Linked DNA regions of Arabidopsis thaliana. Each later gene encodes a partner of the first gene's protein in a complex. Each region holds a gene or a part of one and is shown on either strand. Other genes may lie near its edges.

Region 1 (4,347 bases):
TATGTGGTGTATGATTTATTTACCAGCAAAGGCATGTTTTGTTTGACCATCTCTTCTAGTACCGGTAAGCATTTTCCAAAGAGATCCGTGACACCATCTTGAGAGTTGGTTGTTGCTCCGGCAGGGTACAGCTTCACCGCATAAACCACACCACTTTCCCCTAATAACAAGATCATATATGCATAAACTGAACATTAGCAAGTAGAATCTCAATCAGAAAGATGAAAATGTATCTGATTAGTTTGCAACAAGATGGAGAAAGCACAGGTACTTACTTGCAAGCCTGATCTCTTCAGGTAGAGTTTTGTCAGTCAAATAAAGTGTCATAAGTGGATCAAAGCTACTCTCAGATGGCAAAGCTTTCATGATAAATTTCCGGTAAATAATGGCAGCTGCAGTGGAGGTGACAGGAGGCTTCAGATTCGGCATCACAATCGCTCTCTTAAAATTACTCGCACTGCACATAATTACATACACCATTAACCATCATGTACAGCACAAGCATCAACGCCAGCACAAGATTGTGATTGAGGAATTCATACATAACAAACAATGGTTCCACAAGAAACACCAATAGCAAACAAAAAAGTGGCTGCAAAACAAAGTAAAGCAAGGAAAGAAAAGAAAGATTGCAGGATGTTTATAAGACCTGTGGGGAACAACAGCATGAAGAAGATCACCGTCACGGAGATGAAGATGCCAATCATCAGGTTGAGTGATTGTGAGCTCCATTCTTACTGCTCTCGTCTTCACTTTCTCAGAAGATCTGTCAAACTTCAACTTCTGAGATCCAAATCCCTACATAAAGAATAAAATAGTTGACTTTAACAGACGCATAGGAGGAATTAAATAAAATTAAAACTGGATCACGTGGATTGAACTAAACAAGAATAAGACTCAAAGAGTGGTGGAGGTAGAGTACATACACTATAAGGAGAGACCAAAGTCTTTATCATCTGAAAGCTGCTCAAGGCTTTGCAAGAATTCACCTGTTCCAAAGCAAATGACAAGTAGACTCAGATTCTATAACATGACCTTAAAAAATTGACTCTGTTCTAAAGTATTAGCAGGCACTAAAACTATTCAATCATCATCAAAAGATTTCGCATTCCTTTGGTTCAATGTTTCTCCAAACGAAATTTAGTATCCAGATTAATCAAATTTCTATACACACAAATGGGTATCAGCAAAATCCAAAGAAATCAAATTATCCAAACAATAAACCACAAAATGGCGAAACTGGTAAACACCTAGAAACCAAAATCGAAAACTTGAACTTGTTTAGGTAAGCAATACGAACCTGGATAAACGAAATGCACAACAGGGATGCTTACAACACAAACAAAACGAACCCCAAAAAGAGTGATTTGAGGAAGAGATTGAAGGAGAAAGAAGAAGAAAAAACAGTACTCGTGTTTTGTTGTTTACAAGATACGACGTCGCTTAACGTAAAAGAAGAAGAAAAAAATAAAAGCTCTGTAACAGGCCAGCCCAATTTTAGCCCGATATTTTTAATGGACCTGGACCTGATCACAAATTTCAGCCCTTTTTAACATCCTTATGGATCAACATGGGACTCTCTGACTCCTCCGGTTCCATCAATACCTGCGTTTGTTGTCCTTGTTCACGACGATTCAAGCGAAGAAGCCTCTCGAGTTTCACAGGTCTAATAACTAAACCGAGTAATCGAGTCGAATGACATTAAATTGAACCGAAACTAAACCGTATTGCTTTAGGTTCGACTGACAACTACAGTACGTGAGTTAGGTTCGGTTAGAGCCGAATCTGTGTCTCTTTGTCGCAACGAGATGGCTAAAGTTATCCAAAAAGACGGTTAGAGCCAGTTGTTAGCCCCACCATGACGACACATGGGGAAGCTCATGCAAAGATTAGAGAACACGTGGCACTCTCTCGTGTTCAGAAAAATTCCAAAAGAGTGTTCAGATTTGGGCACGGAAGTGTGAAACGTGAAGCAACAATCCCTTTTAAACACAAGAACCAACTCAATACGCATCACAAAGAACCCTAAATTCCTGGAAGATCTCAAAAGGAAAATTCAAAACCAAAGCTTCAAGCAATCATCAAGCAAAGGAAAAGCTCAAATTTTGGGTCTTTTATATATTTATTTCTTAAAGTTACAATCTTTTTGATTGTGGTTTCAGTGTACGAACACGCAAGAACTCGCGTGAAAAAATTGTATCCAAGCTTCGTGAAAGGAGTCTCTCTGTATTTAGTGGCGTTTTGTTCTGTTGTTATTTCTGAAATATTGAAGCTTTTGATTTGGGTTTCAAGAGAGCAGAGATGTGTAGTTTGTCGGCGATTATGTTGTTACCAACGAAGCTGAAACCAGCTTATTCAGACAAACGGAGTAACAGTAGCAGCAGCAGCTCACTCTTCTTCAACAATAGAAGATCCAAGAAGAAGAACCAATCGATTGTTCCCGTAAGGATTTGTTCTCTTAATCATTTTGACATATCTTTGTTTTATGTGTCTCAGTTATGGATATATCTATGCCTCTGTCTTTATTGATGGAACTTGAAACTTTTGGGATCGGTGCAGGTTGCAAGGTTGTTTGGACCGGCGATTTTCGAATCATCCAAATTGAAAGTACTCTTCTTAGGGGTTGATGAGAAGAAGCATCCTTCAACGCTCCCTAGGACTTACACACTCACTCACAGTGACATTACAGCTAAACTAACCTTAGCTATTTCTCAATCCATAAACAACTCTCAGGTAAAAACACCTCTCTCTCTGGTCTTAACATATCTACATGGCTCTGTTTATAGGAGTAGAATGTTTATGTATTTGATTATTTGGAGCAAATATTAGAGGCTTATGTATGATTGTTTTAACCTATGTATGTGTCTATATTCACCAGAATCTCTTAACACTTTAGAGGCTGATATGTATAGAAATGTTTTTTATAGTTGCAAGGATGGGCAAATAGGCTATACCGGGATGAAGTTGTGGCAGAATGGAAGAAAGTGAAAGGGAAAATGTCGCTTCACGTTCATTGTCACATAAGCGGTGGCCATTTCCTTTTAGATCTCTTTGCAAAGTTTCGATATTTCATCTTTTGCAAAGAACTACCTGTGGTAAGTTCCCAAATTCATAAGAAACTTTTTATTGGTTTCATGTAAAACAAAATGTTTATTGTTTTGATATATACAGGTGTTGAAGGCTTTTGTGCATGGAGATGGGAACTTGTTGAACAACTATCCTGAGCTACAAGAAGCTCTTGTTTGGGTCTATTTCCATTCTAATGTCAATGAGTTCAACAAAGTCGAGTGTTGGGGTCCGCTTTGGGAAGCTGTTTCGCCTGATGGTCACAAGACTGAGACTCTTCCCGAGGCTCGGTGTGCGGACGAGTGTAGTTGTTGTTTTCCAACCGTTAGCTCGATTCCATGGTCTCATAGTCTTAGTAATGAAGGTGTAAATGGTTACTCTGGGACTCAGACTGAGGGAATTGCTACTCCAAATCCGGAGAAACTCTAGTGACTAAATATCAAATTACAAGTTTTTCTTTTGGTAGTTTGTACAAAGTGAAAAGGAAATGGCAGGACTTTCCTTTTGGTGGATCTAAATATTGGTTTGGTTTGGTGTACATAATGTGGTATAGGAAAATAATGATTATTTGTAGGTTAAATACAGATTTTAAAGTTTCAAATGGTATTTTGTGTCTACTCTGAAGTCTTTATCATAGTTGTATACTTGTATTGTATCTCATCCACAAGATCAAAATGTAAATTTCTTACAGATTAGCTAATATTAAAGGTGACAGACTGGTATAGTACTACTGCAATGCAAACATAAAGATGAATAAATTGTTGTTTAATGAACATATATATTTTAATATATCAAAACATTCATGAGAATCATCACCAATTTAAAGTTATACTAATATCCCAAATAAGAATAGTTTAGAAATATGAAGATATTCATGAGAATCATCACCAAAGTAACAATAGACGTATATTAAGGACCGAATTCGTCGGTGTAACGGTGAGAAACTAAGGAGAAACGTGAAGGTAAAGAGATGGCAAAAGACTTTGTCTCTCTGGTGGTTTTGCAAAGCGTATCAGCCACTTCTTGCTCCTAATGATTCCAAATTATTTTCTTGGATTTATTTGGTCTCTTTCTTCAATATCTTTTTCATTTTATAACCAAATCAAGATGACTTTTTTTCTCTGACCCCATTCGTCTATCTAATTTACGACCAAATACACCAAATACAGAAAGAGAAGAAGAACAAGTAATATAAGAGAATGGTAACGAATTATTGCATTATTATCATGGGCTTATTTTATAAAATGTTGTGTTCGTAAGTAAATAAATACAAAAGAAACT
Region 2 (5,548 bases), on another chromosome or scaffold:
CCCAAAGTGAAATGCTGCTGATCCAAAAGAGATTTTCGGATACTTGTGGCAGCATCATTCACTGTTCTACACAACAATGGAAACATCAAAAGAGAAATAAATACCTCTTTTTTCTTCTTTTTTTTAATGGTTTTTTCAGGTTCATTGATGATATATCTCAAGAAGAGCAATCAGGACAACGTATCAATCCATTCTCATTGCATTCAGGACATCTCTTGACCCTATCTTCATCCTCATCAAACAGTTTCTTGCTGCCACTACAATTGGAACACGGAACAAATCGAATGTCCCCACAGCAATGGCAAACAAACCCTGGTTGTCTCATTGGAAACTCTTTAAGAATCTTAGCAAGCTCACCAATCTCAAACAAACTCTTGATCACATCAGCACCACCAACATACTTGCCCATAATGAAAACTTGAGGCAAAGACACAGACTTCTCTCCCATTGCAATCTGCAACTCTTTCCTATAAGCGATATCCATGGAGACGTCGCGCTCATCGATCCAAACCCGAAACCCTCTAAATATCATTCTGACAGCATAGCAATCCTCATACGTCCGTCTAATCCCTCTCAAGCTAGTAAAATACACCACAATCCTGTCCTCTGTCCCGGGAAGACGGATGACCGAGTTGTTTAAGCTCGAAAAAGGCGATATCCGCGATTCGGGTAAAAGGGATTTACCGGATTTCTGCTTCTGAGGAATCTCAGCTAAGGCAGGTTTAACGGGTTTGGAAGTCTCGAATAATCTACAAAGGTTTTTGACTTTGCCTTTAAGAGAAGTTCCCATCGATTCTACGGGGGTGTAGAATTTGGTAATGGAGGTGGTACGATTGAGAGAAGGATTGAGATTGTGGGATTTGGGGCCCGAATCCACCACTGTTCTTCCGTGAATTGTAAGCGACCTGTTGAAGAACGACGTCGTTGTAGCCGATTTCGTCGTCTTCCCTGAGAAATCAGCGTTTTTCTCTAATCCCGCCATCGAAATTAGATCAAAGAAGCACCCCTTTCGACGGCTAATTTGGTGTAAAACCTAAAATAGTCAACAAAATCAAAACCCTAGGATCAAATTCAAGCAAATTGACGAATACAGAAAGAGAAATTGAAAAACATAAATTGAATAATCGTCGATCACCTCCCAAGGAAGAAATGGAAATTGGAATGATTGGAAAAGAATCAGCTTCTCTGATTTGAGTCGTAAAACGATCGGGTGCTGCGTTTTTGAGCTGATGAATTCTCACCTAAGATTAAAGAAGACGAGATTGATGAAAGAATGATCTGATTTTTCTGGAAATTTGGGGGTTTGTTTGTGTTTTGGAAGAAGATGTGGAGGAGAGCTCCGAATTAGCCTTTTGTCTGTCTGCCTTTGTTGCAAAGCAAAGAATTTTTCTGTTTTTTTTTTAAAGATATAATTATTATGTCTAAGTTATTAAAGGCTCTTTAATGATATATTTACTCGATGCTCCTTCGAGGAAAAACGAATTTGAAAAAATAACAAAAGTGGGATTAAATTGCGAGGAAAAGTCGTTTACTGGTAAAACGCGGTTGTCTTATTAAGAAAGGTTATGGTTACAGCGAAACCAGTTTCTACGGTCGGTTTATTGCTATTGATTCTACGCTCGGTTTAGAGATAGTTGTCTGTATTCTAATTGAAGAGTAGTGTATTTCGCTTTCTAGTCTTCGACCATTAGGATTTTTAGTTCACACAAGATCAATTCTCTAACATTTAAAATCAACTAGAAAACTCAAATAACACCGTTAAAATAGTGATTAAACCATTCAAAAATTAAACGGGTTTTATATTGTTTGATATGAAAACTGCAGGTTTTTCGATTGTTTTTTTTGTTTTCCGATTGTTACACAATGGAAAAGAAGATCAAAAATCAATTGTTTTTAAAAAAAATATTATTCTGTCATATTTTTGCAACAAACATGTGTTTTTGCAATGTTACATCGGTGTCAAATTAGCAATGTCAGATCCAAAACAAAATGTCATATTGTGAAAAAAATAACCCTACACTTAATAATACAGTATGAATTTTGGATCCTTTAAGAAAAAATAAAAACTCGATAAAAACGTTGCTGTCGGTTTGCACCGAACGATTGAAGTTAACCAAGCCAGCAAGCAACCCAATTCTTCTATTTCTTCTTCACCTTTAGATTTTTCCTCGCTTAATTTCTCAATAACGCTCTCAGAGAGACCATTTGATGAAGCTTCTCGCTTCTGGAATTTGAAAAGGTACAAGTTGCAACTCTCTCTTTTCTTTCTTTTCTTCCTGGGTTTATTATATAGCTGGAGTTCTTTGTCGATGAATCGGGTGGTGTTGTTGTTGTTTGGTTTCAATTTGATAGAAGATTGGCTTGACCTTGATTTGCTTTGTTTTGATTAGGATTTGATAAGACGAGTTCATAGAAGATTACCGCAAGTTCATCAACTTTTTGTATGTGGTTTCAGCTTTTGAAGCAAAATTCTGATAACTATACAAAGATTCCAGCTTCATATGTGATTTTCCTTGTTATTCTTAGCTTTGCTATGAAGTTGAGATATATGAGTGGAAAATTCGTATTAAAGGATATGCCTTTTGGTTGTTCATTTGCAGGAACTTGTTATGGAGATAATCTCACTGAACGTTGTGCCCCAGTGCTCTGTGGTTACTTGGAGTAGTAAATTAGCAACGAAAAGATTGGTCCCAAATCGGTCAAGTTTGTTATTCTCAGGGGTCAAAAAATCCAGACTTGTGATTCGAAGTGGAAATTCCGATGGTTATGTTGTTGGTGAGAATGATGACTTGGGTCGTATAGCCAGAAGAGGAGAATCAACGTCAAAGGTTTTGATTCCTGGTTTGCCTGATGAATCAAATGGTGAAATTGCTGCTCGAATCAGTCATTCTCACTGCGAGTGGAAGCCCAAGCTTAGAGTACATTATGAGAAAGCCGGTTGTGACAATCTCGATGCTCCTGCGGTGTTGTTTCTTCCTGGCTTTGGCGTTGGTTCATTTCACTATGAGAAGCAGCTTACCGATTTGGGAAGGGATTATCGAGTATGGGCTATTGATTTTCTTGGACAGGGTTTATCTCTCCCTACTGAAGATCCTACTACCATGACTGAAGAAACCAGTTCCTCGGAAGATAAGGAACCATTTTGGGGATTTGGTGACAAAACTGAACCGTGGGCTGATCAACTTGTATTCTCTCTGGATCTCTGGAGGGATCAAGTTCAGTATTTTGTAGAAGAGGTTAGCAATATCTGAGTTCAGTTGTTCTATTACTCTTTAAGCTGTTGATTTTGTTCTTTTAGTCGTAATTTCAAAAGCAGTGTGTTAGCTTTTTTTTTTTAGTGTAGATTGTTGCTATGTGTCGTATACTCATGGATTTCAATAGTTTTCAGCTCAGAACCTGAAAGTGTGGGTATGGAGTCTTCTGGTGTTGCTTTGGGAATGGGAAAGTTTAGGATGCACTAGATATTAGAATTCATCTCTGTTCTTTGATTCCGTTTGTGTTCTAGTTTGAGATCACGATCTTTTTCATCTGAAATAAGCTGCTGAGTCGGTAAGAGTATGTGGTATTTGTGTTGTACAGGTTATCGGTGAGCCTGTGTACATTGCAGGGAACTCACTTGGAGGGTATGTAGCTCTCTACTTTGCAGCAACCCATCCTCACCTGGTTAAGGGTGTTACCTTGCTTAATGCAACACCTTTCTGGGGTTTCTTCCCTAATCCAGTAAGATCCCCAAAGCTAGCACGTCTCTTTCCATGGCCCGGAGCATTCCCTCTGCCGGAAAGAGTGAAAAAAATCACAGAATTGGTGTAAGGGAGACTTTATTAACACATCTCCTCACCTGAAAAGTATCATTTTCTATTTCTATCTCTATCAGTCTAATATCTTTACTTCCCAATGAAACTGCAGGTGGCAAAAGATAAGTGATCCTGAAAGCATAGCTGAGATACTTAAACAGGTCTACACAGACCATTCTATCAATGTGGATAAAGTATTCTCACGTATTGTGGAGGTCACACAGCATCCGGCTGCTGCAGCATCGTTTGCTTCAATCATGCTTGCTCCTGGTGGAGAGCTATCTTTCTCCGAAGCTTTATCTAGGTATAAGACAGTGTGGTTTCTTGTTTTTATATGTTTTTTACTCTGCGTGATTGGTGTTATTGCTTATGAGGAATGCTGCTATTTGATGGTTTATGCTAGGTGTAAGGAAAACAATGTTCAGATATGTCTCATGTATGGAAGAGAAGATCCATGGGTGAGACCGTTATGGGGAAAGAAGATAAAGAAGGAAATCCCCAACGCTCCATACTACGAGATCAGCCCAGCGGGTCACTGCCCACACGATGAAGTCCCTGAGGTATAATGAACTAGTCAATAAATTCTTCAAACTCTGCAATTAGGTATAATGAACCCACCATTTGGGATATGAAAACGAGCAGGTGGTGAACTATCTGATGCGCGGGTGGATCAAGCACCTGGAGTCTGGTGGTTTTGAAGCGCTCCCGCTTTTGGAGGACACTGAAGAAGATTGGGAGGAGTCCAGGATTGGTAGAGAAATTGAGTTCCCGAGAGATGGTTGGAAAAAAGCAGTGAATCTGTGGTTATATGGGTCAAACTATACGTACTGGAGAGGAGTTAGAGAATCTTTCAGATCCAGTTTTATAAGGGTGTTTGGAGGGAAGTCTGCATAGAAGAAGCATGGAACAGTCGTCTAGTGTAAATTAATTGTAATCTATGTTGCATCCGATGCTAGCTATATAATGTTGTCTGTAGAATCAAGTTTCTAAAATGTTCAAAAGGAAAAGTTAGAAAAATATCTACTTGATAGTTAGTCACCTAAATCGAAGGAACTCCTTTCTTGCATTGTTGTATATAATCCACAGGTTCAGATTAATATAGGAAGGCGACATTGCAGGCCATATGAGTTGTCTTAAAAATTGGAAGAGAGCTTGAAATTACTCTGATTCCAAAAGAAGAAAGTGAGTGTATTTGAATTGTTAATAATTTCCAAAGGTGAACAGTTTTATTGAACATGTATGGTGTTTGAAAAGACGTATCATTGGTTACTTTTCTCGAGGCAAAGTCGTATCCTTGACCATATTCTTCCCTTAGCTTGAATCTCATTTTTGTCAGTTCCACGGTCAACAAATAAGGGACTGAATTAGAAGGCTATCCAAACCACTTTTGAGAAACTTACTTACACAGGCTATATATCCAACATGAGATTTGGTCTGCTTCTTTTCTTAATTTGTTTCTTAGTCTCTGATAAAATCTCGTTATCTATTTATTGATTTGAGTGTCAAAAAAAAAAAACCGGTGTTACAAAGCTGCTACTAAAGTGTCGTTCTACACTAGTTGTAAGAAATTACTTCTCAGTATGTTTTTTTATCTCTCACTAGTTGATAACATAATGGTAACCATCAAACAATGCTAGTTGTTGCAATTTTATTCTTGGGGGTACTTTGAAATTGTTTCTAATTGTTGCTCTGAACTTTTTTTTATTTTTATGTCGGTCAACATTGTTGGTCTGATTTATGTCTTACAACAACAT

The links. Proteins that work in one complex are often made in the same cells at the same time.
Region 2: NYE1 (region 1) and PPH share a complex: the UniProt entries of both Arabidopsis thaliana proteins name them as parts of the SGR1-CCE-LHCII complex.

Annotation. Positions count from the first base shown.
Region 1 is NC_003075.7:12,015,924-12,020,270, reverse strand, and holds NYE1 (non-yellowing 1), read left to right. Parts: upstream 1-1,627; 5' UTR 1,628-1,664; intron 1,665-1,736; 5' UTR 1,737-2,301; coding exon 2,302-2,442; intron 2,443-2,559; coding exon 2,560-2,733; intron 2,734-2,927; coding exon 2,928-3,095; intron 3,096-3,171; coding exon 3,172-3,495; 3' UTR 3,496-3,808; downstream 3,809-4,347. Other genes in the region: PYR4 (pyrimidin 4), read right to left, coding at 24-160, 276-457, 650-798, 927-956. UniProt on the Arabidopsis thaliana protein: Magnesium chelatase involved in chlorophyll a degradation in the chlorophyll-protein complexes of photosystem I (PSI) and photosystem II (PSII). Contributes to the degradation of PSI and PSII in the thylakoid membranes.
Region 2 is NC_003076.8:4,451,203-4,456,750, reverse strand, and holds PPH (pheophytinase), read left to right. Parts: upstream 1-2,042; 5' UTR 2,043-2,239; intron 2,240-2,390; 5' UTR 2,391-2,443; coding exon 2,444-2,503; intron 2,504-2,600; coding exon 2,601-3,236; intron 3,237-3,579; coding exon 3,580-3,806; intron 3,807-3,906; coding exon 3,907-4,098; intron 4,099-4,197; coding exon 4,198-4,354; coding exon of another isoform or gene 4,355-4,360; exon of another isoform or gene 4,361-4,436; coding exon 4,437-4,688; 3' UTR 4,689-5,016; downstream 5,017-5,548. Other genes in the region: AT5G13810 (Glutaredoxin family protein), read right to left, coding at 158-982. UniProt on the Arabidopsis thaliana protein: Alpha/beta hydrolase dephytylating specifically the Mg-free chlorophyll pigment (pheophytin), yielding pheophorbide. No activity on chlorophyll. Belongs to the chlorophyll catabolic enzymes (CCEs).